Arabidopsis thaliana: one gene and its partners. The protein of the gene in region 1 interacts with the protein of each later gene in a pairwise test. Each region holds a gene or a part of one and is shown on either strand. Other genes may lie near its edges. The genes, in order: CIPK22, AT4G13540, AT5G02050 and CRF11.

Region 1 (7,427 bases):
CGCCAATACATATCTGAAGCAATATAAGAAATTTCAAAACTTTGATCGATATTACGCAAACCCAATTTCAAATTCCAGTATCAAAAAACGGAAATCGAACCTGTACTCTTCGTAGTCATTGAAGTTTCTACCGTAACCATGTTTATTAGAGACCATAATTAAGAAAGCAATAAGAGAGAACAAAAGACAGATTCCTCTCGTAATCGGAGATGCTTTCTTTATCAAATCCTCTCTTTTCCATCTCTGAGTAATCGTCGACGTTCCAGATGCCGGCGTCGGCTCCGACGTCTTCTCCGCCGCAGATTCCACGTCAGTAGCTTCAACCGGTTTCATGTTATCGGGATTCGTCATATTACAGATCTCAAAACTTTGGTCGGAATTGGTTCTGTTTTTAATGCGAAGATTCGGGACGAGGAATAACAAACTTGGAAGAAAAGAAAAACTGATTAGTTTTGGAAAACGTAATTAAGGTTTCGAGTTTTATATGTTAAATTGAAGAAAACGCGTGGTGGCGGGAGTGATTTATGGTAATTGGTAAGCATTAAGCAATGTGATTAAGACTAACAGTTCTGTGTCATGTGTGTTAGTTAATCGTGGCTTGCATTTAGACAGCGAAGCATGCTCATTGGTCAGGATCATTGTGTTTCATTGGTATTATTTTTAAGAGATTTTTCTATATCTATTTATCTATTCTATGGTGATAATGTTTTCTAATCTATATGGTAATATATGGTTTTAGGATTTGGGATGTTTAATCAATTCCATAACTTTTGTGCTAAGAATGGAATTGTTCTTCACAATCTTTTTATGGAAAGCTTTATATCAAAGTCTGATTGGAGAATTTATGGACAGTTGATTTGTTTTTTTTTTCTCATTGGAAGATTGTGTTTTCTGTATAAAGGAATGTTAATTAACTTTATTACATAACAAGAGTTGGAAACAAACATTATAAAAACTGAAATTTGTTATTTCTTTTTAGCAAAAAAAAAACAAAAAAAAACAAGTTCATTGGAAATTACTTGGAAATAGATTGTTGTCATTTGTCAATATGAAGAGCATAAGTAAGAACTTCCATAAGTCTAGATCAATGATGTGTGCATTAGAAGTACCAAATCATTCGAGGCAGTTTAAGTTCCCATTCTAATTGGACCAATGACGAAGACCAAGGCAAAGAAAATCTTAAAGATGCTTTCAATGATAAGGGGATGATTCAAGACTTGTTGAGTCCACTAGAGAAGTTACCTACGGAGTTCAAATCCAATCCATTTTGAGTCTATTGTCCGACCAATAACTGTAAAAACAGTTATTTCTGTTTTGTTCTTAGCTCAACAAATATAACAACAATTTTGATCTTAATGGAGGAAGAAGGTTTTAATGTGAGAGACTTGTAATGGCTTTGGGAACTTATTAGAGTTCACATTTCACAACCTTTTTTTTTATCGAAAAGAAAAATAAATAAATAAAACTTTATAGAGTTCAACGTGATGATACAATTATCAACATTTGCATTGACCACCACCACACTAAATCTTCTGAGCTTGGCGTTAGCGTCACGTCGAGTTACGGTAGGGTCGTGTGTTTGACGTGAGTTTGAGATTTATTTTTTGTTTATTTTAATGTCATTTGTTTTTCAAAACACACAATTTAACTTTGCTAATTTCATAAGAGTATACTTATTTCTTATCTCTGATAGCTTCGATAGACTTACCATACACTTAACACGTAATTACCGACAGCTGATATTGCTTTATAACAATCCTCTCTCTCTTTTTCTATGACGTCGACTAATTTAATTTGCATAGTAAGTTTTTTAATGGGATCACACCACTATCCAAATAACATAGGTTATCTAGTTCTGTTATAGAAAGTTACTGAATATATCTATGTCAAATCAAATGTATGCGTTGGAAGCTATAGTTTTTGTATTTCTAAAATTAGCATTGGACCACAAACTCCCCAAAACAAATAAAACATTGATGCTTTGGCTAGAATTTTGTGATCTATCTTATAGACTTGTACGGTTATATATACCAATCATGTTTTAACGGAATTGCCAAGTGGTAATCAGCAGTGACAACTATTCGTTAATCTGTAACATTCATATATATGTTTTTAATACAAACTCAAATAAACATTCATACATAAAAGATCCTGAAATACTTCGTACGATTGCCAAACAAAATCAACAACGATAAATATTACAAACGGTGTAGCATGTCCCTTAGCGCAAAATAAGGCCCAAGTTTGCAAACACACACGGTCACACATAAAAGGCTACAAAGTTCAAATCAGAGTTTTATTCAAATTCTCTCCGATGAATAAAGCAAATAATTTTTGTGTTTAAATTATACTCCGAAAATAAATAAACAAAAATAATTGAATCCCGGTTTGTTTTTTTCTTTCTTCTTGTCATTTTTATATACAAAGAGGCGGATCGTCCCATTACTCTCCCTGCTCCAATGTAAACCGAACCGGTTAACCACAATGCGTCTCGATCCCGAGTGTAGTACGTTGAAAATTCTAAAAGTAAAACGCACGGATTGTTGGTTTAGTGTTGAAACCGTTTTACGGTTTGTCAGGAACTTTATAAACCGGTTGGTTAATCAAACGACGTAACTTTTGTCTAAGAGCATCGGCCCAAACCAAGCCCACGTCTCTTTGCTTGTTCTTCATCTCCACCATCACTAGTTCATTTGTTAGCCGGCGAACTTTAACGACGACATTAGCTACTCCATGTGGACCTTCAAGCTTTATCGCTCTCTCCTTCTTCTTCGCGATTCTCAAATTTAACTGCTTCGCAACTTCCTCGACCTTCCTCATAATAACGGCCGTACTCTCATCGGATACAAACTGGTCGCAATGATCCGGCGTCACGAAATTTCCAAACAAACCGGAGAGATTCGAGCTCGACGCCGAAGAAATCAAATCGAACGCGTTTAGAATTTTACCGTTTTCTTCCAGATCGTAATCATCGGCTTGGATTCCGATGATTTCGCTTGGATCTACTCCATGATTGAACCACGGATCCTTTAGAATCTCCTCCACGGTGATTCGCAGTTCCGGATTTGGCTCCAAGAGACGGCGGAGGAGTTTCCGCAGATCTGAAGATGTCCAATCCGGTAACTTGTATTGAGCCTTGTGGATTTTCCGGTAGAGTCCCATGATGTTTGGATCACGAAACGGCAAGTAGCCTGCGTTGAGAAGAAACAAAACGACGCCGCATGACCAAATATCAGCTTTAGAACCGTCGTAGCCTTTCTTCAAAAGAAGCTCCGGTGCTACGTAAGCCGGAGTTCCACAGAGCGTATGTAGCATTCCGTCGGGGTGGATCTGCTCCTTCATCGCACTGAGACCGAAGTCTGAAACCTTCAGATCTCGATTCTCGTCGAGGAGGAGATTCTCCGGCTTCAAATCACGGTGGAAAACTCCTCTTGCGTGGCAGTATCTCACGGCGGAGATCAATTGCCGGAAATATTTCCGGCTAAGACTCTCTGTGAAACGGTTGCTGGTGACTCTTGAGAAGAGCTCACCACCTTTGGCTAGCTCCATGACGAAGTAGATCTTCGTCTTTGTGGCGAGGACTTCGGAGAGGAGCACGATATGAGGATGACGGAGGCGGCGCATGACAGATATTTCTCTCTTAACGTGCGCCGTTAAACCGTCTTTCAAACGTTTTTTTTGTACGACTTTGATCGCAACGCTTTCGCCGCCGTTTTGAAGATCCTCCGCTTGGTAGACTTTGGCAAACGCGCCGCTACCGAGGAGCTTACCGAGATCGTACTTACCGAACAAAGCCGACTTATTATCATCTCCGGTGACGTTAACAATGATTGATTCGGAAGAATTAGAGTCTTCGGCCATTAACAAACAAACAAAAAAAACAGAGCAAAAAAACAGAGTAAAGAGAAACAGTCTAGGAATTGTAAAAGACATGCGCGCGGTGCCTCTTCTTATTGAAATTCCTCAACTTGCCACGTAAGTAAGCTATTATTTTAAACAAAGATTTTAAAATAGTTTGACTTTATTATAAAATGCATTAAACAAATAAATGAAAGAAACAATCTTCACAAAAGACAATTTCAAAATGCGATAACATTTTCGATTTTTACTAATTTGAATTAGTTGCGATATATCAACCAGGTTAGAGATAGAGTCATTTTCTCCTGAAATAATTTACGATTCAAGGAATTTTCATGATTCTTTCCCCAATGTGTGGTTCATGTTGTTGTTACCAAACATCTGCCTTGTCAGGTCAACCAAAACCTTCTAATTCCAGGTGGGATTTAAAGTCTTAATTTATTTGTTTTTGTAGGAGCTGGGAAAACTCGACATATTTTTTTTTTTTAAACGTTCATCGTTGACAAAAATAAAAACTTTATCAAAAATAAAAAGAACGTCTATATAAAAATATTTGAATAATGTGAAAGAAAAAAACAACGTGGATTGACGTTACTTTGTATAGAATGCTAAGCAGTATACATGACGATGTTTTAAGCTTCTTTACCGGTTAAGATGGTACTTTAGTTCTGAGGATATGATTTGGTTCTTAAAACATAAGAATATATATTCATCAGGTAGAAGTGTACAACCAAATCAAGACAAGTGAACCGGACCAAATTTTATGTGAACTATATCTCGCAACATTGCATGTGCATGTAAAGATGTTTAGACACGAATGTTATATCGTGGGTACAAATCAACCATCCTTAATTCTGATGAAATTGTTGGTCTTTAACCGCATCCAACCGTAGCAACCCAATCAAACCAAGAACATTATCCAGTCAATAAATAACCTTTAAATTTGAGTGACAAAATAATAACATTTAAATTTGAATGTTGTTTGAAATTCAATGCCACATATAATAATTACTTTTTAATAGCTGGAAATTTTGTTATCTAAGGATTAATGATGGGCAAATTAAGTTTTTCTTATAATTAATTTGAAGTTGGATTCGTGGATCCAAGTCATTCGTGTGTGGATTAAAATCATACTAGTACCCCTTTTGTTGTTGAAAAAGCCAAAAAATTAATCCTTACACGTGAACTTGTTCAAAACATTATCATAAACCTGTAAATTTTTGACCAAAAACAAGAAACCTCTAAAAAAAGAATTAGGAAATATGCAAAAGCAAAAACTCGACAAAGTAAAACGAATAAAGAAAACAACTCTTGCTCATTCATTCATGTGTTCCAATATGTAGGTGTTAGCTTTCGTAACGGTATTTACTATCTATTTGCCTTTTAGTTTATTGACTTTATCTGAATGAAAATTAACACCTAACAGTCGGCAGTAATACCCAACCAAACTTCAAAAGTTATCTCGATTTTATCGTACGGTCACACAGTCATTTAGACTATGACATCCGGGCGTCATTGTGGAGTCATACCCAACCGGAAAAACCAACCATCGAATCATCACATCGAATATAATGCCCAACCGCCAAGTCAACTTATTTATGTGCTATATCGATCCATTTAAAAACATCAATTCTTTTGAAAAACAAATACATCACCATTGCTTTATTATTGAATATTGATCTTCTCATTGTTATCGTCATCAAGAATAAAGACATCTACTTCAAAGAGACACCGTCTTTACCACCGTGATGGTGTACGTCAGCCATCGACATCGTCCGTACACCCACCCTCACTCTTAATTTAAGACGTTTCTTCTTTCTCACGCATCGTCATATATTGTGTGATTTCTTTAAAAATGTTATTAAAAAAACTCTACGAAGCAAAGTTTGTAAAACCAACCGTCAGAAGATTTCTACGACATTTTGTCTTTGTTTACGAAAAGAATTTAACAAAAGCATAAAAAAAAAAATTGATGGTTTTATGATTAGACAAATTTTTTGATCTAACTCAAAAAAAAAAAAAAAGTCACATATTGAGGCATTGCTTTTGCTATTTTCTCAAAGTTTTAATTAGGACATTACATTACATCTTTTTTTTTTATGACAAATTATTTTATCTCAATTCACAACCCCATCAGAAGAGAGGAAGAACGTATTCAAGAACACACGAATTGCTTACAATGAAAATTTGCGTTAATATCCAAAGTCGATATGAGTCCAAACAAAGGAAAAACTCAATCAGTTCTATATTGGCATTCTTTTTTTAGGAGCAACAAATTTTTATGTGTTGGGTTTACATATACAACCGAAGCTTACACCTAGTAGATAAACACATTTTACCCGTTGATCATCCACGATTCAAATGAACGCATCCCTCCCACAAAAAGAAAATATACATATATGAGTATTCTAAGCGGCCATTCGTGATCCATAAATCCAAAAACATTGGAAGAAAAAAAGTAGGAGGAAAGCAGTGAAAATCTGATGGGTTAAAGAGAATGTTTTGGAGGTTGTTGCGATAGAAGTGTGTGATAAGAAAAGAGACATGCACTTGAGCTCTACGGAGAAGGAAGTGGGCGAGCCATATGCATCAGGATGATAGATGATTTCTCCTTGACGACATTTGAATTCTCCTAAACTCCATTCCTATAGTTCCATAGATTTATTACAAAATTACTATACAATTGATTGATCACATCATATAACAAATATATAGTATTAATTTAAGTGTTCGTTCATACCTCAAGCTGACGACCAAAAGTGACAAGGATAGTGTCGGGATCAGCATGGAAAGAAAGTGGACCTTTCCCTGAGTTGACGCGGAACTCGCAGTTCTTAGCCGGAAGGTGAAGGCTGAGTGTATAATGAAGCATTTCTTCGGTCCTCTCTTTGGGCAAAGGAGGGCTTTGCTCAGTTACATTTTCATGATTGTACCTGTAAACGCTAAGCACAGATTCTCCTCTTTGTATCTTCTTATCATTTGGTCTTCTTGAGTTCTCTACCATTATTTGCCCTAGTTTCCTCGCTATATCTTCAAGTTTATCAGCTACATTCTCCATTTCTTGGCTGCAACCAAATTAAAGATTCAAGAAATTGGAACCAAATTCTCAATCACTAATTATTTTTTTGCAAATGCAATGTTCATCAAAAATTTCTAAAATGTAATCACTAGTTCAAACGAAACTTGTATAACCAAAACGAATGTTATAGCCTTTTTGTATTGATTCTTCACAAATTGTTATTTAGCTCTAGTTAGTACTTCATCTACCAAAGATCTCTCCATAACACAATCAAACAGAGAGTGACAGAAAGGCCCATTAAGGGCCCAATACCTGAAGCAGCGGTATCTTTCCGGTCCGATATACTCGCGCGCCCATTCCATCCTCTCCTTCCACGACCGTACCCACACGATCTCGTCTCTGTTTCCGACAACACTCCGGTGAAACCCGGTGTCTCTTCCCTCCAAAACTCCGAAAACCCGACCCGATTCCCTCACAAGAGACCTCAGCTCCTCCCCAGATATCCCATGATAACTCACACGAAACGCCCCAAACTCTCTCGCCGATCGCA
Region 2 (7,515 bases), on another chromosome or scaffold:
TGGCGCATTAGCTACACTCTTGGCTCTCGAACTTTCGTCCAGCCAATTAGCTAAGTAAGTACTTTGAGAACTCCCTTCTCCTACATATCACCCTGACGACAAGCAGCTTAATGGGCATTTAACATGATTTGTGTGCTTGTTAGACGTGGGGCAATCACTGTTACCATGTACAACTTTGGATCTCCAAGAGTAGGCAACAAACAATTTGCTGAAATTTATAATCAGGTCATATGCTTCTTCTAACATAACAATTTTTAGTTGAAAAGTGGGAGTGAGATGGCACGTCGTCATAAAACCTCATGGTTTATATGTTTTCTACGTTCGCAGAAAGTAAAAGACAGCTGGAGAGTTGTAAACCATAGAGACATAATTCCCACAGTCCCTCGCTTAATGGGCTATTGTCATGTTGCTCATCCTGTTTATCTCAGTGCTGGAGATGTGGTAAGCCTGCCCTTTGATCACACTATCTAATCTACTCAGATCATTATTTCTTATTTTTCCTTCGAGGTGCTATTCTATGCGATTGTAAATGATTCATGCTCCTAGTTGTGTTGTCTTGCCTGTTGTCACTGGAAACATTTGGTCTTCTATATAGCAACTGTCATTTGTTTGATTCTGTCTGGCTAAGTATCTAGTATAACCTGCAAAAACGATATGTGATGTATAATATTTCTTTGAATGTGACTACCTTTTTGGCCTTACTCTGCAGTACGAGCTCTGTAAGTTATACAATATGATTTTCCAATATAAGGTGATTAAAATGTTGCAGGAGGATATTGAGTTCCAGAAAGATGGTTATCATGCTGAGGTGATTGGCGAAGCGACACCCGATATTCTTGTTAGTAGATTTGTAAGTGCTCTAACACTCTTTCTCTGGTTACTTCACATTTTCCTTTTGATCATGATTCTAGTTTTAATTTTCCTGCTTGTGTTTCTCATAAATTCTGCATATGTTTGTTGTTGGGTTTATGTATTTTTCATAGCTAATAATTTAATAGGGAAAAAAAAAGAGATCTCTAAACTGAATTATTTCCTAAGAGCTGCTCCTAATACTGTCCTATAATTATAGGTTCACATTTACTAGCAGCTATTTTATTGTGATGGCTTCATATGCGTCAATGAACTTAAAACTTGTTTTCCTTCTGCGTAGTCTTTTTCATACTATCTATCTTTTCTGGGATTCAGAAGCTTATGTATGGGTATTATTCAGAAGATGTAGAGAGGCAAAAAATATAGTGAAAAATATTCCTTGAACAAGAAAATGAGTGATTTCCTGACATGAGATTAAATGGATGTTTTCTTTCAGATGAAAGGTGAGAAGGAACTCGTTGAGAAGATACTTCAAACGGAAATTAAAATATTCAATGCACTTCGTGATGGAAGTGCCCTTATGCAGCACATGGAGGATTTCTATTACATCACATTGTTAGAGGTAGGTACTTTGTTGTTGCCACTTAAGCAATTGCTGATTATTGATAAGTTGTCATAACACAACGTATAACTCCATGCATTTTTCCTTTTTGTTTTCAAGAATTACACTGTGACTTAAAGTTAGAAAGATTCAGTCCCTCACAGGATAGTGACATTTAAACATCGCCAACCCTTTTTTGGATGGAGCATGTGTTGGTTTGAGACTGCTAGTAATTTCCATATCTCATTGGCATCATTTTTTGTTGTCAATCTTTTCAGAGTGTGAAGTTATATTACAAAACTGTTGAAGATCCGAAAGGCGTTGAAAGTACTACTATCCAATCAGTGGGAGAGAGCTAAGTGAGAGCATGTAGTGGCTCGCTTCAGCTGTATAGGATTCACACTGTATACTATATACAAGAGACAAGCATCCATTGTAATTATTTTATAGTGATCTGTGGTTCAGTCGTGTAAACTTAAACGTAGACATGGTATCAAAAGGGGACAAGATGGTTGGAATTTATCACAATGCGTATAGATGAAATTTGAACATTATACTCTCACTGCATGCTCAGGGAGACCTTGCAGGGAATGTTATTTTTGGCTAACAGGGACCGTTACACCTCGGACCTCGCCTCTCGGTTGGCTAGTTTCAGCATTATTTGCATCTGTGAGCTTTTCAGGAGAACAGCTGCGGGAGAAGTAAGTTATCTCAATCCTTAAGCTTTCGTTTGTTTTGGAACCTTTGCACGCAGTTCTTATTTTTACGTACTAAGTTTCTACATAATCTTAGATCAATTTGGAGACAACAATCTTAATCCCTGATCATTCACCGTTTTTCTTTTCCATTAGATTTTCTTGATGCTGGATATGTTACTTGTGAAGTATATACAACTTTCTTTAGCGTCATGAGATAGGAAAGAAATGGCTTATTATTGCTTGAAGCTTACTGAGTCTACTTATACAGCAATCCTTGTGGAAAAGTAACTTCAAATGACTAAAACAGTTATTTACACCCGATGAATTTTGTTTTGAATACTGTCAGGTTTCTGGTAGTAGATGATAGTGCCTTGTTCTTCCCGCTGCTACCGCCGAGGATACGCAGACTCTGTCTCAGTAAGTCAATCTCTCTTTCCTTCCCATTTTGTTGTTTCTCCATCAAATTTATTCTCCCTTTCAGTGTCTCAATGGTTTCTCCCCTAGCTTTAACTTCCTTTCTGAGTTCTTGCACTGCCTTTGCAACTTCTTCTTGCGGTTTCTGTCTCAGTGCCTCTCCTACAAAAGAAAAAAAAAACTCATTACCTTCCTTTCTCAAAACATCAAAGATGAGATTATTTGTGAAAGGTCTTACCATATGTTGTGTGGATGAGATCATCAAGCTCATTCTTGATAGCAAAGTAGAGCTGCTTCCACCTCTCCACAGCTTCTTCCCTCACTGCTCTCTCTAAACACATCTGTTCCACGACCCATTCCCACTCGTGTTGTTTCGCCTTTCCTTCTTCCTTCTCTTCCATCTTCTGTCTCAGCCTCTTCACTTCCTCTCTCAGTCTCTTCCTCTCTTTCCTCCACTCTGTCTCTGCCATCTTCAACGCCAAAATCACTCTCTCTTTCTCATCAAGCTCTCTTCTTGTTTCTCTCCTTCTCTGTTCATTTGCTTTCACCTTGATGCGTCTCTTACTACTGTTTCTCTCATCCTTGCTTGTAGAACCACCCATGAAGAAAAGCTCTCTTTCTCTCTCTATCTCTGTAGAACTTTTGTTCTATTTTGAATGTCTTGTTTGTTTCATTCAATGAAAAAAAAAAATGATTATTGTGAGTGAAGAAAGCTCCACTTTGCGGCATTGCAGACACATGTTATTTATATAATATGGTCCAAACCAAAAGCATCTTCACTTATCCTAAACACACAATAGGAAAATTATGGAATGTCTTATCACAAAACTAATCACACAAACACACATTGTGGCTTGAGTTGATTATTTCTTATGGAAACTGAGATAAAAAGACAAAAGAAGTTATGGGCACTCTCAGGACATAGTACTGAATAGGAAACAAGAGAAAAAGGAATTGAAGTGGTGTTACAGAATATGAAAAGCAGTGTTTTTTCTTCAATCTCCAATTAATGGTGTGGGCTTTGATTGTTTGTCACATGCATCATTAACATGGACCCATACCTATTTACTCCTATTTTTTCTTCCCAATATTTGTAGGTTTTATAGGTTTCTCTCAAACTTTTGGTCTAATTTGTCTTCTTCTCATGGAGGAAATTGTTACATAGGTCTTAAGTTATTGTCTGTGTTTTTATAGACCGAATCAAACATAGCAAACCAAAATTTGAGTATGTTACGTGAAGACAATGGGTAGATTTATCTTGAAGTTCGAATTTTGGTTTGCTTTATTTCCGTTAAACGTCAATAGTTAAACTTCATGAGTATGCTTTAGCTTTGGATCCTTAGTTCCTTACAATACTCACTTGTGATTTAAGTATGATAAGTGAGTATACCAAACTTTGGTGGTACAATGGTCAACGAATAATAGAGTGAAAGAAGACAAAGAAACAAGAAGAAGAGACATATATCTAATCACAATTGACATCGTAGAGTTTAGGATAGCTATAAAGTGAAAGATAGACTCCTACATGGCTACATCAATCAGAAACATTGCCCTCTTCACGTGAACTTCCCTGTTAATTTGGGTTTTTGTCTTAACCCTTTTCATATCTTAAAGAGTCGTACTTTCTAAATAAACAACCAAAATTCCGTTATTGGCTTTTGTCTTTGTACAATCTCTTTACGACACTGCCTACTAAGACCAGCTCAGAAGCTTATCAAGGTTAGATTCTGACCGCAACCTTCCAAAACTGCACTATGATTCTGATCCAATTTGTATTCCACCAAGCAAGTAACAATATATACACACACAGTACAAACTTACAAGCATCTTTTTGTATGTTTTTGTAACATTTTTAATACAATCATATGATACATGCACCAACCACATCAAATCATATAATCTCACATATATGCATTATTATGCCCTCAAATTCACTTAATTTTCACCTTAAACTCATCATGGACCACTGGTTCATACCCACTGATGACGGAAGTGCTGGCCGGATTATGGGCACACGTTTCACTACCGAGATTGCTTCGTTCCACCGAGCAGCATGATTCGCCACCTTCTGAAAAAAGTATTTCATTCAAAAGACAGACAATACAAGAATCAGATGGTGTAAAAATCTTCCGAATTGTGTTCTGAAATACTTAGAACTTTTGTTCTTCATTGCCATGAGTGAAAAAGATGAATACAAGTCAAGCAAGAACGTGAATTTCAGCAGCAAAAGACATATTTGATCCGCCAAGTTATATGCAACCGTAAGCAGGATTCAAACTTGGGTCCTTACTGAGGCTTTGTACCAGTGGAAGATCAGTTAAACTAAACTTTCAGGTTTTACCACTACTTTTATCCATTCCTCAAAGAAACATTTTACGATAAGATTCGTAATATATAGTAACTTCCATCTCTGGCTACCAACATGAAAAATCTACAAAGAATAACTACTGAAAACTAGTCTAAAGATCTTTCAACTATCCTTTAGCTATTAGAAAGAACATGCAAACTCAAAATGTAAAAATAAAAAATATGTTGTTTAAGCATTATAGGAGATGAAACAACAGAGAGGACGGACAAAGAAATAGATCACCCAGGTGGTATTCTAACGACTATTAACACTGCTCTCACCAACTACACATTCTATGCCAAAAGTATCTATCAAGAACTCAACCGATGCAGTGGTGCTATATCAAAAACCCTTAGCAAGATAGTGTAAATGGGTACGAGTGTATGCCTGTTGGTGAATACTATGACCTCGAGTCGCTGGTTGCATCTAAACTACTTAGCAACAAGAAACTGGTCCCAGGACAAACAAGGGGATGATCTGATCTTCTCATTTTCCCCATCAAAACAACAATTGACACTAATAAAACATCTAACTAAGCAGTAAAAGTTGAACTAAGCAGAGCTCATATCACACCAAAAGATCATACAGTAACCACATGACTCATGAATCAACATACTCAAAGAACAATAAACAATCAAATAAACCAAGCTAGTTACCTTATCATCCAAAAGAACCTTAAGCTGCAAGGAACGAGTCTTCTTCTTCATATTGTACAATCTACGCCCTAACATAACAAAACCCACAAATGCTGCAGCCATGGACAAAGACCAAATAGGATTAATTTTCAACACACAATACTTCAACACCTCTATTGGAATTTTCCACCACACAAACCCTTTCTCTTCTCCTCCTCCACCACCAGATTTAACACCAGGATCAATAGAAACAGAGTTTCCTTCTCCTTCCACTGGATGAAGTAAAGATTCTTCCTTTCTCTCATCAGAGCTTATCAAATCCATGTCTTGAGCTATACTTTCACTATATTCAACAATACCCACTTCGTTTCTCTCTATACCCATCTCGTTATTCACATCATCATCCACTAACCTCTGATCATCAAGCCGATCACTGCTTGAATCAGACCATAACTCACTAAAATGCTTCGGACCATAAGGAACATCGGAGCTAGGTTCGATCCATCCTGGACTACCCGATTGAACAGACCCATCTTCATCGTTTGCCTCCAAACGAGACAAACCACTCTGGTTCTCAAGAGAGAAATGATCAAACCTAATCATACCTTGCGTGCCATCATCAATCTCCTCCAAGCTCCTCGAATTGTCATCTTCCGTGGTAGATCTCGAGCTCTGAAGTATTTCCCAGTCTTGAATCTCTCCTTCCATGTCAAAGTTAGGGGTTTTTTCGATCCAATTGAGGAAAAGAAACAAAAGGAGTCTTTGTGTTGGGGCGAAAACAGAACCGAAACGCTTCTTTCTCTGTGTGGAGATCACAGAAACACTAGGTCGTGGTGTTAACGTGGCGTGGTGTGATTGGATAGAGGATGAAGTCAAAAGAGTGGTTTCGTTGACGTGTGGGTTTATGATAACTATATGGATTGACAGTGTATGTTGTTACGGTGGGCCGAGAAGTAGAGGACCTTCAACCGCTTTTGCTAATCAGATATGCTCAACTTGAAACTGGAGGGAGAGGAAGCAAACACGTCATATAAATGCATTTTGTGAAGAACATCATAATTTATTGATACCGAACCAAATCCAATAGAATGTATTTTTACTTTTTACTATTTTACTTTTCGTTTTTTTACTTGTTTTTTCTCGTTCAAATTAGGTGATCGATGAATTGATAATTTAATTGTAATCCGCGTAATTCATATTCCTTCGGTTCTATTTTGTTGATTTTGAAGAAAAAAAAAATTGTTTCAAAAAAATTGATTTTTTAAAATTTTTATGTAATATTTATTAGTTTTTATTAATGAATTGTAAACTTTAATAAAAATAATTAAATTTTATTGGTTTAAAGTGATAGAAAATTGTAAAACACAAAATATAATATATTTAAAATCAACTTTAATATATTTACTTTTGTGTGTTTTTTTCTAACAATCAAACAAAAAAAACAGAGAAAATATTTATTTATTTTTGCTAAGAAACATAGGAAATATTTAATATTAATCGAAACCCAACTTTTTTTTCAATAAATGTTTAGCGTTAATATCATAGTTTAACAAACATTCTTTTTTATAACTCAAAATTTTAGAGTTTAGTCATTAAACCAAGATGTGGAGATTTTATAAAGGTTGAGGTAGGGAGGAGAAGAAAGTTAAGAGGCTCATGGATGGTGGCTTGCAGAGATTTGGGAGTTTTTGAGAGAGTTGATGACGTGGCAACTTGAGAACACATTTGTTAAAAGGCTGAGGTGGGTAGTGTGAGAGGCCTCAAATAACTTTTTTTTTATTAGTAAGAGATTCTGAAAAGAGGTTACCGATATCTAATGAATTGCTATCGAATGTTGAAATCTCATGAAATTTGGCTACACTACATACATACGACTATAAGGCAAGTAACAAAGACTGCTAGGGACTGACAAAGTGACAAGTGACATCTTTATGCTTAGCCTCCTTTTCCTTTCTACCATAGTTGAACATCAAGCACATTATTTCCATCTCAAAACCGGCCCAGAGAATA
Region 3 (7,440 bases), on another chromosome or scaffold:
AATATATCCATCAATCATAATTTGGTCTAGTCATTCGAAGTGGGATATGATTTGATACATATAGTCTAAAATATGATTTTATGCCAGTAATATTTTGTTTTCCCTGTCCCCTACCTATATCTAGAGCTTGAGATCCTCCTTTTAAAACTTTTAGATGATTAATCGTTTTACAAATCATAGTCCCAGACTTTCGTTCCAATCTAGATCGGTTTAGATGCGTTTTGTTTTGGAATTTATACAACGAAAACCAAAGTTTAGATTAAAAGATTCGAAAACCGGATTACATAAAATCTGGTCCAGGACCCCTTTGGTTAACGAAAACCAGACTAAAGGGCAGAAACGTCATTTGACAAAAAGAAGGATGATTCTCTCCTTCCTCTTTCCCCAATGCAAAGAAAAAGCATTATAGACTTTTCAAGTTTTCCGATATAAGCACGAAATCGCTGTTTCTCTCTTCGACGAAGCTTTGATAATTTGATCTCAATCGATCGATTCTATTGAGAATTTGTGTACCTGTTTTCTTATAAGGTTAACTAAGGATTGTGGAATCAGAAGTGTTGTGTTTTTGTGATCGGAGATTATGGATTGGGGAAACGTAACGGTTGATGATCTCTTCGATGCTCTCCGAGAAGTTGACTGGTCGTCTCCGCCGCGTCCTCCGTCTGAGTTCTTCTCAAGGTTCACCGTTCCTAAATCTGTCCCTAAATGGGATAGTCGCCTCAAGTGCAATCTCTACTAGTACGATCTCTCTCTCTCTTTCTTGTTCGCCAATTTCATATCTATTCGGATCTGATGTTGTGATCAATCTCTCGTTGAGAATTACCAATCAAATTCGTCCCAATTGAACATAGAATTCTTAGACTTTGGTTAGAACACAGAGTCTTGATAGCTTAGTTTCTGTATTGAGCTTAATTTTGACCTGTGATGATGATCTGTTTATGCAGCTACCGAACAAACTATTTCATCATGATCGTCGTTATACTTGGTATGTGGTGTGAGGAAGTGGCTAAGCATTATCATCTGTGTTGTTTATCAATGATGTCTTGTTCACTTAGAATTGTCAAATTTTACTTCTCAGGATTGGGAGTCCTTACAAGGCCTTTAGCGATCTTCGCTGCGCTTTTGACAGCATTAAGTTTGGCATTTCTAAATGACAGGTTTTTCTTCATCTTCCTTTTGTTTTTAAACTCTCAGAGCTTTGACTAGTGGATATGCTTGAATCAGTAGATCCATATTGAGTATTCTTGTCTACAGCTTTGCAGGTTCTTTTAGTGAGAAGGCGACACGAACCGTCAGAAGATTCTCTCCACAGTTAGCTGCTAAAATGAGACCTCCTTTGACGTATGTTTATCTCTCTTTGTTGCCTTTCATACTCTTTGTTACTCCTTGCTTATTATCATCTATGTTATCTGTGTTTTTTAGACCTGTCACTCGTGGGCGTCCATCATCAAAGAGAGCAATCCATGTATGTGGTCAACCCCGTTGGGTTTTTGTCTTGACATGCTCACTTGGTATGTGGCTTTGTATATTTTCATTTGATGTAATATATCTCCAAAAACCGTAAAAAACATGATTTGGAGTTTTTTTTTTGTTTCGCAGTGAGTTTTGCTCTTTGGTATATTTCCTCTGGTTTGCTCAGAGTCTCGGTTGCGCTACTCATTGCACATCTTGGTATGCAGTCTACACAAATCCTCATAAGTCATAACTTAGTTTCTCTCACTCTACTTCAAAAATCCACATATAGGCTTTTATAAACTCAACCTCTTTTTGTAATTTGTGTTACAGCAACAATTCTTCATGCAAGCTTGAGAACACCGAACTTGAAGGCACGTTTTAACACATTTAGGGAGGAATTCCGAGCAGTATGGCGTAACTACAGCGAGATTTAGAGTAATGTAAGTTTGAAATATCTTCTTCTTAGTCTAACATCTATTTGCTTAACTGGATGGTTAGATTTTCTGAAATGTTGACAGTCTTTGGCAGCTTGTACCACCATGATCGTGTTCTGCTGAGGACATAACGCTGTAAAGACCAAACTTACTGCCTTTCTCCAAGATAAACCCGGTTTCGTTAACACTGTACTATGGATGTTCAATCTGGATTTGTTGCTCAATGACTGGGATCATCTGTTTTTTCTTTGATTTGAGATTTGAGCTCTGAGCTCTTTTTGCTAGCAAAATCCTCTCTTTTTTTTGCTAAAGACTTGTAAAGCTAGCTTTGTTGTTCTTCGTTCTAACACAAAACCCTTTGTGTAAAGTCCTAGAATCGTTTAATAGCTTGCATTTTTTTCTTTCTTTTTTTGGGTTGAGAGGTCTAGTAACAATAATAATGAGATAACAAGAAATGGAAAATAAACAAATGATTTGACTACTTAGCCGAGAGTTTTCGGATAAGAATAGGCAATGGGAAAATGCAAAAGAATTATACTTTATTGAGGTCGTAACATTTTTTCCAACTGACACTCGAAAGAGTTGCATCTTATATCTAGCAAAGTACCTAAAAACCCATTAAAAACATGTAGCAATATTGTTAACAAGCATAACACATGACCTCACTTTCAACGATTGCTCATGGTGATATCAAGTTCATCTAAGATAAACTCAAAAGTTTAAAGCAAAAAGAAATCTCGCTCTTATTCTCTGAACAAAGTTCAGTTTCACTTCTCGACAAAAGACTTGAGATCCTTGAGCCATTGAAGATACTCTCTGCTATCTTTGTTGGCCACATAATCTGCCAGAAAGGTAGTGAAGCTTGGTTTAATACCTCTGATCTCCAAGTACCTGTGGAAAGCCTTCTGCAAATTCTCATCCAAGTCACTGCACATAACACAATAACCAAATTCAATCACATAACAATACCCCAATCTCATATATTCCAAACAAGAACTCACTATCATTGAAGTAAACTTACTCAAAGTCAGGTCCTTCGTAAGCAAGGTCATTATCAGATCCTTGCGGTTGTTTGATCGATAAACTATCAATCACAATCTCATCCGGGTATGCGCTGACTCCAAACTCAAGACACACACCATCACCTTTCTGCACACTAACAACCATCGGAACCCGGACTTTACCCGAGCTCTCTTGATCTTCATCGTCTTCTTCATTGTTTGGTTCTGCTTCCTCTTCTTCATCTTCATCATCATAAGAAGCAACAGAGTCAACTTCCACTTGGATGGTTTCATCCTCAAATTTCCTTGTCAGCAACACAGTTCTCTCCCCTGAATTATCAATGATTTCAAATGGAAACCCTTCTGGCTTATCTTCCAACTGTTTTTCCAAAACATTTCTAATTCAGATACAATTGTTCTAAACCCCAGAAATATTAAAATCTCATGAATTCGAGAAGAATCATGTATATTGAAAGAGAGAACTTACGAAGTCAGTGTCATGAGGAGCCTCCTCTGCGACGGCGCATTCGATTTCAGATTCGATAACGCTAACAAGATTCTCGTCGGCGGTTGTTTTAGAGATCGCACTTTCCGTCGAAAAGCTCGAGACTGAGAATGAACTAACCGATCCACGCCTGATCTGGTGGCTACCACGAATCAGCCTCTCGACGGAGACAGCGCCACTGCGGAAGCTAACCGGAGATCTACCCGCACGGAAAGCAAGATTGGCTACTGTTGACGAAGCTCGACGAAACACGGTGCTCAACGCCATTTCTGAGGATTCTAGGGTTTTCCTTAAAAGTGAAAAGAGAAACAGAAATGAGGGTTTTACTGAGAGAAGAAGAGAGGTTTAAGGTTTGTTTATAGTGCAAAGCATTATGTAGGAGATAAAAAGCCATTTAATAAGGCCCAATTACTTAATGGGCCATAAGAAGCCCATATATTAAAAGGAATTGGTCATTCGTACAGTGAGAGAGGAATGTCTGTGTGTGGACACGTCCTTAAAGGCAAAAGGAGAGAAGAACAAAATAGCTCTTGCCGGCGTCAGAATTGCGTCACTGTTTCTTCCAACTTCAATTTTAATATCGTTGGCTTGAAGTTAAGGGAAACATAATTGTTCCTCCAAAAAAGCAGAATTAAATTTGTGGTAGATACTTGTTTTTAAATTCATATAGCTCAAAAAAGTTGTCATTTTTAATGTTGGTTTTCTGGTGGCGATGCTCTTAATTACCCAATTCCGTACGATTTATGATCATAAGTCAACTTTTGAGATTTGGGTTTGTGAAATTTTCCTGAATAAAATTATGGGTTTAGGGTTTTTATGATCAATTTCCTGTAAAGTAGCGATTTTTTTCTCCCGGGGATTTTGGTGAGGAACAGGATAGAAAGTCTTGGTTTTGTTCTGTTTATTGTGTTTGTTTTTGGGTTCTGATCAATGAAGAAGATGATTGGGAGTCCTGGAACAATGAGTGGGTTGATACTGAGACTAGGGCAATGTGCAACTGCTGCTGCTTCCATTGGTGTTATGGTTTCTTCTTACGACTTTTCCAATTACACTGCTTTCTGGTAATTGTCCATCTTCAATCTCATTGGTCTTGGTGTTTTGGTTTAGTTTAGTTTAGTTGAAGACATTGGACACTGATGTATCAAAAATCTTGACTTTGTAGTTTTTTCTTGGATAAACTTTTGAAGATAGAGCTAACTGAACTAGTAATTGTGTATGATTAACATTTGCCTGAAACTTTGACAAGATTTTTTTCTTTGTTTGGTAAAAAATATGTGGAAATGGAATTATTTCTATATTTCGATTACTGTATGGGGTTATCTCAAAAGATACAAAATGATGATAGATTGCTTTTGCCAATGATTTCAGCTTCTTAGTCGCATCTATGGGTCTTCAATTGATATGGAGCTTTGGACTTGCGTGTCTTGATGTATATGCGATAAGGAGAAAAAGTGATTTACGAAGCCCTATCTTATTGAGCCTTTTCACTGTTGGTGATTGGGTATTAAACTTATCTTCCATTTCATTATATGCTTATTCACTGTTGGTGTCTTGTTGTTTTAAAGGTTATTTGTTTGATAGGTTTCTTTTGGAATTCTGCAGGTCACTGCACTTCTCGCTCTTGCAGCCGCGTGTTCCTCTGCAGGAGTTACTGTTTTATTCACTAAAGACACTGAGTTTTGCAGGCAGCAACCCGCTCTCTCTTGCGATAGGTTTCAGATTTCTGTTGGTTTATCTTTCTTTAATTGGTTTTTAGCTGCTATATCGTCTCATACCATGTTTTGGATCTTGATATGATATCAAACAAAACCCATCTCAATGATTTTACAAAAATCCATTTCTATGAATTGTTTTTCTCCAATCCATAACCGGAAACAGGGCAAGGGTACAAGTCATTTTGGTAATTTTCTAAGACAGCTATGTCTCAGTAACCTCTTGTGACAGAATATTGATGATGTATTCAATCTCATCAGCAACCTCTTTCATCGAAGGTCGGTTTTGTCTCCGTTCGTTAAGGCACGCAGATGCTAAATTCCCGAGCTGCTGTATCGTCTGCATGTCAATCTTGTTAGCTGTCTTCTTCAGCAGTGGATCGATGCATTCAGTCAATCTCTCTTGATCCATCATCTTGTTAATATACATCACCAGGTTCACATCTTCCTCTTCTCTAGTGAAATCTATCGCCTTCTTCGATGTAACCATCTCCAGAAGCACAACCCCGAAGCTGTACACATCGCTCTTATCAGTTAGCTGGAAATTCCGGTAGTATTCTGGATCGAGGTATCCCAATGTACCTTGCGCACCCGTGAAGATATGGCTCTCGTTATTAGCGGTTTCTGTCAAATCCACAAGTCTTGACAGCCCAAAGTCTGAAACCTTGGCGTTTAGCTTCTCGTCAAGCAAAATATTGCTTGACTTTACGTCGCGGTGGTAAATGGGTGGCTGTGCTGCGGAGTGGAGATAAGCTAATCCTTCAGCGGTTTGGTATGCAATCTGCAGTCTGCGCCGCCAAGTCAGCGGTTTCCAAGTACGGTCTGAACTGCCATGGAGATGTTCGAACAGCGTTCCGTTGGGAATAAACTCGTAGATCAAGAGAGGCAATTCAAGATCAACACAGCAACCGAGAAGCCTAACTAAGCTTCTATGATTGACTTGGCAGAGAATCCGGACTTCGTTTAGGATCTGATCAGTGCCTTTGGTGTTGTTAAGCTTTGCTCGTTTGATCGCGGTTATGGTTCCATCCTCAAGAACAGCTTTAAACACTTCTCCAAAACCTCCAGTGCCTATGAGATTGTCTTTTGAGAAATTGTTGGTTGCTTTCGTGATTTCTCTGCCAGTGAAGATTCTTGATGATTTTCCAGTGGAATTTGCGCTAAGCATCTCTTCTCGCTCCTTAACAATGTTCTTGTGGATATCCTTTTTAACCTTTTGGTGGCTATGTTTGGTTCCAATTACTGCTACCGCAATCGCTAGCGTAACTCCCACAACCGCAACAGCCGCACCTTCAAGAGCAAAGAAGTTAAAATGGAGTACAATCATATGGGCATTTGAATATATTTTTGGTTTTTCGGTTCATCCTCTGTACCTGCGAAAACAACGGTCTTCTTCTTCTTTTTGCAGTGTTTCCCATGGCGACATTTACCACCTAATACATGTATGCCAAGAACTAATCAATCACAATGATCTGATTCAAGAAATTTGTTTTGAATAGTTCACTTGTTATGCAGTTTACTTACATATTGCGTTAACCGGATCCCATTCCAAACCTTTTTTGCAGGAGCATCGTTTCAGGCCGAGACTCGTTGGATCAGGCAAGCATTTTGATTTACCCAACAAGAGGTTACAATCTACATCAGTTTTGCAAACTGGTTCTTTAGGCAATGCCCATTGCAACTCGAGCCCCGTGTCAGGCCATTTTTTCCCGGGAGGAGGAACCTCTTTGTTTGGATTCAGCCCCACGAAGCTTTGGTACGCGAGGCATCCCCCACCGTTGATCCTGATCGTGTAAGCGGTTTGAGACCCGTCGGTTCTGAAGGTGCAACACAAGGGAGCCTTAGAACAAGGTGATGCATTGTTCTTGATGTAGCTGTAACATAAGCTGGTAGGACTACAATCTATTGGCGCCTGCAGACCCCAAAATCTCTTGGTCAGTCCTGAAAACCGGGTTCCATTACATTTTAATCGAAATCTACTTTCATTGAACCCAAACCTAATAACCAAACTAAAACTGATCTCAAATTTGATCATAAACCAATATGTTCTACAATCTTCACACCAAACCAACTAAACTTTTTTGCTTTACCTGCAGCATAGCCTGAGAGCAATTAAGGAGCAAGATAGTGTTGCTACTAGTGATGCTGAAAGGGAGATGGGGGTCGAGCTCGAGGCCCTGTTTAGAGACATCAGCTGAGATACAGGATACTGAGCTAGCAAGACCAGGCGGGCGTAGAACGATCCGCTGGGTCACTGAGTTGATGGACGTAATGACATAAGATGACCCATGGAGGGCACCGAAATAAAGCTTACCACCAACACAATTTATCCT
Region 4 (8,227 bases), on another chromosome or scaffold:
TAGCTACACAAAATATGTAAAGGATTTTATAGTTAAGAAATGGAATTTTCTTATGTTCGATTACATATGTATTTAGACGTCATGGAAACAAAATATGAAAGGGATCAAAAAATGAATCAAATATTATCGACCAAGAATATTTAACAGGTGTGGCAAAGATGTAGCCGTAAATGCAGGCATGAAGAAAACAATTTTTATTTATTATGGAATTTAATAGAAACCGATAACATTAACATGTGCAAAAAAGTTGTTCTTAGTTGTTTTCAAAGCTACTATATACGTTCAGTCATGTGAAAGGTATATATATCTTAAAGTCATAGCCAAACTATCAAAGTTCATTCTTAAAGTATTTGTTAGAGAAACATATCATTTTGTTTATAAAGTTTACAAAATACTAATCGAAATAGAGCTTTTCACATTCTCCTTCTTCTTTTTCTTACGTTTATAATATAGTTTTTATAAGAATTATGAGTCCTTTATTTGAGATATTTGTCTTTATTTATATATATATATATATATATATATTGGAAGCCTTAATTTGTCTATTCGATCTTTGAATGTTGAAAAGAACTACAACTCTCCGGCATAATATTGTTTGGTGGGTCAACGATGCACATTTCTTGTGTCTTGACTTTGAAGCAAAGCATATGTGGCAATGTGGCATGGCTTCGCCGCTATTGCAACATTTTAATATCAACCATATATTTTATCATTTACATTTGTTCGAATCCTGACTCATTTTTGAATTCTGCAGTAAAACAATTGACACATTGAATCCAAGTAGGTTATACAGTATTTGTTCAACCATTTTAAAAATATTTACAAGTTAACATCATCATTTCCTAAACGGGGAAAAAGGGACTTGGTCGTTCGTTGTAGTTGTTGAGCACTTTAGAACGATTAGCAACGAATCAGAATATTTTTTATACTACTTTCAAACTATATAAATTACCGTTTAGATAATTTAAAACATAAATAGTCCATTTTACTTATTGAAAAACATAAAACTATCCTATTTTACCAAATTCTCTTTATTTTTTTTGTTAAGAATTTTTTTTAGGTCTTTTTGACCATTAACAAAATTATATTAAAAATATCCTTTAGCTAATTTAAAAATATAGTTCTGACCTATTCCACAAAATTCTCTTTATTTTTCAGTTAAGCAAATCTTTAAATATTTTGACGTCGAAACGTATTCTAGTTTATCTTATCAGGAGTGAGGGAATCAAAAACAACCATGCATCTCGATGGAAATCTCTCCTATGTATCCCTCACGTCTTAAAAAATTACGGATTATTGTTAACACGAGTAAATTAAAGGATTCATCAACATATGTAATCCTTGAATAATATGTAATCAACTAATAAAAAAATATTAGCTTATAATGTTACTGAACCCACAAACTAAAAACTCATCTTTCTGCACATTTTTTAACCGGAAACTACAGAATGAATAATTATTTTTTTACAATCTAATATTTTCAAATAAATTTTGTTATTAAGTTTCATAAAAATAGATCACATACGGTCTATATTTTTTAAAAAGTTTCTAATTATAATAAAAATGAGTTTGGATATATTTTAAAAACTTATGTATAATATCATTTTGATAATTTCACTTTCATATATTGTCAACCAATCAATATTTTCTCACTAATCTATATCAACCATGTTTTAACTACTCAATAACAACCGTTGTATAATCGTTGATATTTGTGAATTATGTGACTCTAATTGATTAAAACTATATAGCCTTAAGTCTTTTGTTGTACAAGCTAGGCCATTGATTGTTGGTCTTGACTCTTGACTCTTGAGTCTTGACCATGACTTATCTATAAAAGAGTGTAAAATCTGATTATTATTGTAATTGTTAACTTGCTGTACAGATTTACAACGTATGATAGCGTTATGGTCTCACTAGCCCAACAAAAATTATTAATTTGTAATGTGGGCTCTCCGTTTACGTGCATTGGGCCTTTCAGTAACATAGAAAGCCAGAAAGCCTATTTGTTATTATTATTCGATTTTTTCTTTCAAGTTTCAACATCTTGGATCATTTTTTTGGTGCAACATATTTTTTTTCCATCAAATGGTGCAACATATTTAGTTGTATAATGGACGTGTTTAAGATTCTTCATAAGATGCTAAATATTACCAAATGACTAATCCAGAATAACTATGTAATTGATTGCTTGATCGTAAGTAAACCCCTTTGTCCAAAAAAAAACCATGGAAGTAAACCCAATTTTTATTTCAGATCATTAGAAATCACTAATTTCCACGTTTTTGATAAAAAAAAAGCTCCATCGAATGAGAATGACACTTGATAAAAAACCAAATTGTATACATCGACTTCGAGCATGTCAAATCTCCAATCTCCAAAGAAAAGTACAAGTCTTAAAATCTCAAATCAATTATTCTTAAGACTTCAATTTATTTTCTGTCAACATCTTAAGAATTCAATTAACAAAAAAACAAAAACATCTTAGAATTCATTTTAATTTGTTGAAAAAACAAAAACAAAATGAATATGCACGTTCAATTCAATGTATATCCATAATTCTGTTCACTAAAACGAAACTAATAAAATCCAAAAGCAGCTACAGTCTGAAGTTGAGAGATGGCTTGACACAAAAGAACACACCACTATATACTCTTTATATCAAAGATGGAACTAGTTGAAAATTTTGGCAAGACTTGTAATATACGCAAAGGTTGCTTTAAGAAAATTAGATCAAATATTAAATATTATAAAAGAAATGGTTTAAGAACCAACGCAATTAGAGCGGTGATAATTTGTCCTACTGTTATCATCAACCAAACCCATTAACCTCTCTATCTTGCATTATGTGTTTTTGTTCACATAACTTTTAAAGAAAACTTTACTGATATAATGCAAAAAGAGGATAAGCCTAAACCCTAACTCTATAGGTAGTGATTGCAGAGAACAAACGGTTTATCTAGTTATCTTCATGTCTGACTGAATCAACCCGAAAGAAACAGCAATCAAACATTGGTAACAATGACTTAACAAGAGCAGAGGACGAAACCATCAACAATGTATGTAGCACAAAACAAATAAAGTAGGTCTCACATATGTATCAATAACTCAACAGGCAAAACTTACAAAGATTGAGAGAGCTTACGAATTAGAAAACATCTAAAGGCTTTTCAAAGACAATCCTCATATAGAAAAAAACCCTAAATGAGAAACAATTGCCTTCAAAAAAAACCACCTGAGATTTACAATTTCGATCACACCTCTCTATCTTCTCCACAACATCAAAACCATTATGTCAACAAAACTTTCTTTAGTAACACCAACACACAAAACTGCATCTGCTTCTATCTTTAGGGTTTTTGCTTCCCTTGAGATTAACTGCCTCTGCTATACTTTAATAACTTAAGACAAAACCGAGTAACAACGAGCTTTTTACGTTGCTCCTATAGCTAATAATAACACCTAGCTGCAAAACTTATGGGCACGCGATATTAAGAGGAGTGGGAGTAGTTGTTGCGATATGATCAACGAAAGCATACTTGTCAATGGTGGTTCCAATGAGACCAAGATCGATCTCCACATCTGAGAAATCATAGTCTGGAAGTTCGCTTGGACCGTCACATTCAAGACCAATGATGTCCAGATCATCTATGCCACAGTAATCATCCAACATTTGGTTGTTGTTCTCTTCTGTTAAGAGAAAATCAAGCTCACAAGCATTTGGGATGAATGAGTCATCAATGAAGCAACCCATTTCAGGAATCTGTAGATCTGCAAAGTCGAAATCAAAACTCGCTTTCTTCGATTCACCAGCTTGTTGATCAAGAGTCGAATCAACTAGCTTCTTGTCAAGATCAATGCTTGACCCTGAGGCTGAGATCATAGAACCAGACTCATTTGACAAAACAGAGGAAGCAGCAGAAGTGGCTGCAGCCAGAGCATCAAACTCAAGCTTCTTGGTAGCATAAGCATCAGCTGCTTGTTCAAGCGTCTCGTAAGTACCCAACCAAGTTCTTACTTTGGTGATTGGATGTCTAATCTCAGCAGCCCATTTACCCCATTTCCTCTGCCTAACACCAACAGGCTTCGAGACAGTAGTAGAAGAACGTCCAACGACCGGAGATGCTTTGCTGCGTAAAACCTTTTTGCTACAAGCTGAGATTTTAGTCTTGCTTACACCATTATTGTTACTCTCCTGACAATATGAGCTTTCAGATTCTGCTTGAGTAGCAGCTTGAGCGAAAGGAAGATCGATCTCACAGACATAACGTTTCCTTCTCTGACTCCTTTCTTCTTCTTCGCTTGATGAGTAGTCAGTAGCGTAAGGATCATTCACAACGAAACGGAGTTTTCTCATAGTCTTCAAATCTTCAGATAAACCTGGGAGGTGATTTAGCTGAAAAGGTTTCTTCTTCATGGGTTTTTTGTTGGGTTTATTGGTTTGAATAGAAGAGCGTTTCTTTCGTTCAGCCATTTTATCGAACACTTGGTGTGCGAAATTCAAAACCAAACCCCCTTAAACCCTAAAAAACCTCTCAAAATTCCCAGAAAAGCCTCAAAATGAACTCTCTCAAGAACAAGAAAAGTCCTTTACCCCAGAACAAGTCCTGTTTCAATAACCAGCAAAAACACAACAACCCACTTCAGATTCGAACAGAGAAACTATAAAAACCATTCAAAGTAACAAACTTTAGCAAACCCAGTTACCTTTTAGGTCTTAAACGCATGGAAATCGATGAAACTGTGAGAAATCAATCACTGAGAGAGCTAGTAGATGTAGCTTGATGAACGAGAAAAACAGAGCAGAAAGCGATTAAGAAGACGAAGAAGGAAGAAGAAGAGAGAGAAGCGTAGAGTCAAAGACAGAGCTCCGGTTAAACAAATTATTCCGGCGACTTCAAAGATCCTTTTCTCTCTCACACTCCTCTCAGCTCTTCGAGCTTCCCAAAAGTGAAAAAGAAAAGTGAGAAGATAAAAGATTCAAAAAGAGGAAGAAGAAGAAGAAGAAGAAGATAAAGTAAAGAATCAAAACGAATCGAAAACAGATGACAAATCTATGGCCAAGATTTTTCTGCCTCTCTATTACCAAAGACAAAACTTTTAATTTATGTCGGAAAAATAAAAGAAAGTTATGTAACTGGTAAATTTAAGAGACCGAGGAATTTAAAAAGATGTTAAAAATCTTTTAAGAAACGATTGTTCAAACACAGATCTCAATAAAAATTTATTAAAGCATTAAAAGAAAGAAAAAAAACGAAGATGGGAAATTAAATTCGTTTTTTATTAGCATTTGGTTTTTTTTTTTTGGACAGTTTTATTTCATTTTTTCGGTTAAGATTGGTGAAAATAGTTTTACAATAGGGATAAGGAAAATGTTTTTTAAATTATCACTTTATCATTTTCGTTGGTTTAAAGTATGAATTTTGGATCTTGTGAATTAAATTCTTAATTTGATGTTGATTTTCAATTTAATTACAAATTCTCGTTGACTAAGCCAATTGAGACACAATTTTTTTTCCCGGTATCGTCAATCGACCTAAAGATGAAAGATTACTTTGAATTCGAATAAGAAGAGAAATTCCAAAGAAGATAAGAGATTCTGAAGAAAAATAGAGAAAAACTCAAAAATTTTAATTAGAAAATTTTTTAACGATGTGTCTTAATTGGCTTAGTTAACGAGAATTCGTGATTAAATTAAACGTCAACATAAAATTGAGGATTTAAATCACCAAATCGAGAGTTTATGTTTTAAACCAACGAAAATGGTAAAGTGATGATTTAAATGACATTTTTCCCTTTTACAATATGGTAATAAAACATACTATTTTTGGAATTATATTATGGATATATGGTAAATAAATTTAGTTTGTGAAAGGAATAATACTTTGTATCGAACAAGTTATTATTGTATTGTAATACATTATTCATGAAATTTACTTCTCACTGTTACTGCACTGTGGGTCTTTTAGCTAAGTGAAGTAATAGAATTTTATTTTATTAATAGTATTAAACTACAATAACATATATATTCGTTTTTTAATTAAAAATAAATAAAAGAGAGTGACTAGTAACTACTCCTTCATTGTTTAGTGAATTATTCATATTATTTGATGTGATGTATACTTGTATTCTATAGTAATTTAACTCATTCTCCCAAATTGACTCTTAAACAAAAACATCAATTATAGATTCTGATAATTTTTTCGGCATTCAACAAAAATATCTTACAAAAGATCGACGAGTATAATTCAATACCATTAATTAACATAACAATTTGTGAGGTTAATTAATTACATTAGAGGTAGTTTACTTTGCAGTATCTTGATTGTGCTAAAGAAGAACAATTTCGAACGTGGAGGATTGTTCCATCCCCACATTTGCTAGTTGCTACCAACCGAGGGACTTTTCATCATAATTTACAAGTCTTCTTCCCATCTTTAGTGGGTATAAATAAATACAATTTTTTTTTTTTTTTTTTTTGTGCACCAAATAAATACAATGTTAATGAGAATAATTCACAACTCAAAACGTTTTTGAATAACTCTGTTTTATTTTTTCCACACTCAAGCATTTCATGAAGTCAATGGTCTCTTTTTGGGTCAACTAAGTCAGTGCTTAAGTTAAGTTACTCTGTAATATTCCGTAACATAACATGATCATGATCACTCTAATAACTTGCAAAATCATTTAAGTTCGGTCCGATTTGAACCGATCAATTTAAACTTGTATTTTAGAGGTTAAGCTCATCCATTATTTGATATCTTACACCATGAACGAACATTTGGTTAACCTAAAGAACACAAAATAAAATAAAAATTTCTAACATTTTTTGCTCGATTCTATTTGGTTTCGGTCCTAATAGTTTTGAAACAACTTAAAACAGGTCGCTTCCAGATTAATCCAAAAAGTTAACATCTCTAGATTAAAATTTATATATCAACTTCAAATTTTATGATTTTTTTGTAAGGTTCATTACGATTCGATCGATTAAAAATTTAAAACATTTTTTACTAAAGAAATACCAAAAAAATATTGAAAGTGTCATTTTCTTTCAATTCCATAAAACGAAAGGAACTCCTAATTTCCAAAATTTTGTTTATTCCACAGCTTTTTTAACATATCGCTCGCATTGCCACATTGGTCCAGACCTACTCCCCTTTTTATTTACAAGATTGCCACTTTAAAGAGTTGGATAATTAATTTAGTTTAAACTAAACATTTTTCTGCAACAATATAGTAGGAAAACAAAAAGCTAGAAGAAAAAAGAAAACAGTGAACGCACGCCTGAATGCATGTGATTGCCTACCCTACGTGAAGAAAAGACGATGCAATTACAGAAGTAAGAAAAACATTTTCTCCACCAATATACAATGACCCTTACTAATTATTACTATTTCAACAAAACGTTTCCTACGTAAGGAAGGCAACAGATTCATTTGATGTCATTTTTCAACGACAATAGACAAAAAAAAAGTAAAGCAATAATAAAGTAAAGTTGTACACTACATATATACTTTTTAAAAATTGTTGAAACACAAAATGTGTGCAAATTTATAACAGTGTATACAAAATGGATGTTCAACTACGTCAAAGACTATTCATGAAGAAAAACGGTCGTGACAAAATTTAGACAAATTAACAATATATTAAATAAAAACTTTTAAAATAATTTTAGTATTACAGAAACATTATTAGATAAATTCGCAATATTTTTGTTCTATTGAAAGAAAAACAAAAAAGAAAGAGTAAGGGATCATTACATTGATTTCACACATACAAGTGTCGGATTATCAGTGTCACGTGGTGTTTAAAATGTAGACATTTCACCATGTGGACTAATACATTCATAAATAATGCAGCCATCGACGACGACCATCAAGCAATTTTTATATGTGGAAAGTTTTTTCAAAAATTATTAGTAAGTGGACACGTCAGACAAAACAGAGAGTTGAAAAAAAAAAAACATAAGTGTAGAGAGAGCGAAAGACACAAGTGGAGCTGGTCGGAAGTTGGAAAGTTGGAAACAGCTTAGCCGCCCACGTCGGCCCTACAATTGATTCGACGTTGTTAAGATATAAAGCCCAATTATAATGTACTTAACTAAAAGGCTTTTACTTTAGGCCCATATGTAGATCTTTGTTTTCTTTTGTTAAAAGTTAAAACACCAATATCAATTAGTGCTTACATTATTCGAAAAATCATTACAAATTTACGTGTCATTTTAAAT

What was found.
Region 2: the proteins of CIPK22 (region 1) and AT4G13540 interact in a two-hybrid assay, tested with the Arabidopsis thaliana proteins (one large-scale study listed by BioGRID).
Region 3: the proteins of CIPK22 (region 1) and AT5G02050 interact in a two-hybrid assay, tested with the Arabidopsis thaliana proteins (one large-scale study listed by BioGRID).
Region 4: the proteins of CIPK22 (region 1) and CRF11 interact in a two-hybrid assay, tested with the Arabidopsis thaliana proteins (one large-scale study listed by BioGRID).

Annotation. Positions count from the first base shown.
Region 1 is NC_003071.7:16,111,344-16,118,770, forward strand, and holds CIPK22 (CBL-interacting Serine/Threonine-kinase), read right to left. Parts: upstream 3,862-7,427; coding exon 2,566-3,861; downstream 1-2,565. Other genes in the region: AT2G38480 (Uncharacterized protein family (UPF0497)), read right to left, coding at 1-13, 101-351; AT2G38500 (2-oxoglutarate (2OG) and Fe(II)-dependent oxygenase superfamily protein), read right to left, coding at 6,267-6,503, 6,599-6,923, 7,190-7,427.
Region 2 is NC_003075.7:7,865,506-7,873,020, reverse strand, and holds AT4G13540 (golgin family A protein), read right to left. Parts: upstream 3,702-7,515; 5' UTR 3,126-3,701; coding exon 2,762-3,125; intron 2,686-2,761; coding exon 2,417-2,685; 3' UTR 2,231-2,416; downstream 1-2,230. Other genes in the region: AT4G13550 (putative triglyceride lipase), read left to right, coding at 1-54, 144-225, 328-441, 770-850, 1,307-1,432, 1,690-1,770; AT4G13530 (uncharacterized protein), read right to left, coding at 4,466-4,591, 5,527-6,213.
Region 3 is NC_003076.8:400,583-408,022, forward strand, and holds AT5G02050 (Mitochondrial glycoprotein family protein), read right to left. Parts: upstream 3,765-7,440; 5' UTR 3,663-3,764; coding exon 3,378-3,662; intron 3,270-3,377; coding exon 2,911-3,269; intron 2,817-2,910; coding exon 2,657-2,816; 3' UTR 2,397-2,656; downstream 1-2,396. Other genes in the region: PRA1.A1 (prenylated RAB acceptor 1.A1), read left to right, coding at 581-738, 945-985, 1,079-1,157, 1,255-1,341, 1,423-1,511, 1,600-1,671, 1,786-1,889; AT5G02060 (Uncharacterized protein family (UPF0497)), read left to right, coding at 4,326-4,456, 4,764-4,896, 4,998-5,192; AT5G02070 (Protein kinase family protein), read right to left, coding at 5,313-6,397, 6,481-6,540, 6,632-7,019, 7,198-7,440; AT5G02065 (uncharacterized protein), read left to right, coding at 6,127-6,549, 6,673-6,903.
Region 4 is NC_003074.8:9,472,299-9,480,525, reverse strand, and holds CRF11 (Integrase-type DNA-binding superfamily protein), read right to left. Parts: upstream 5,115-8,227; 5' UTR 4,708-5,114; exon of another isoform or gene 4,608-4,707; 5' UTR 4,475-4,607; coding exon 3,476-4,474; 3' UTR 2,936-3,475; downstream 1-2,935.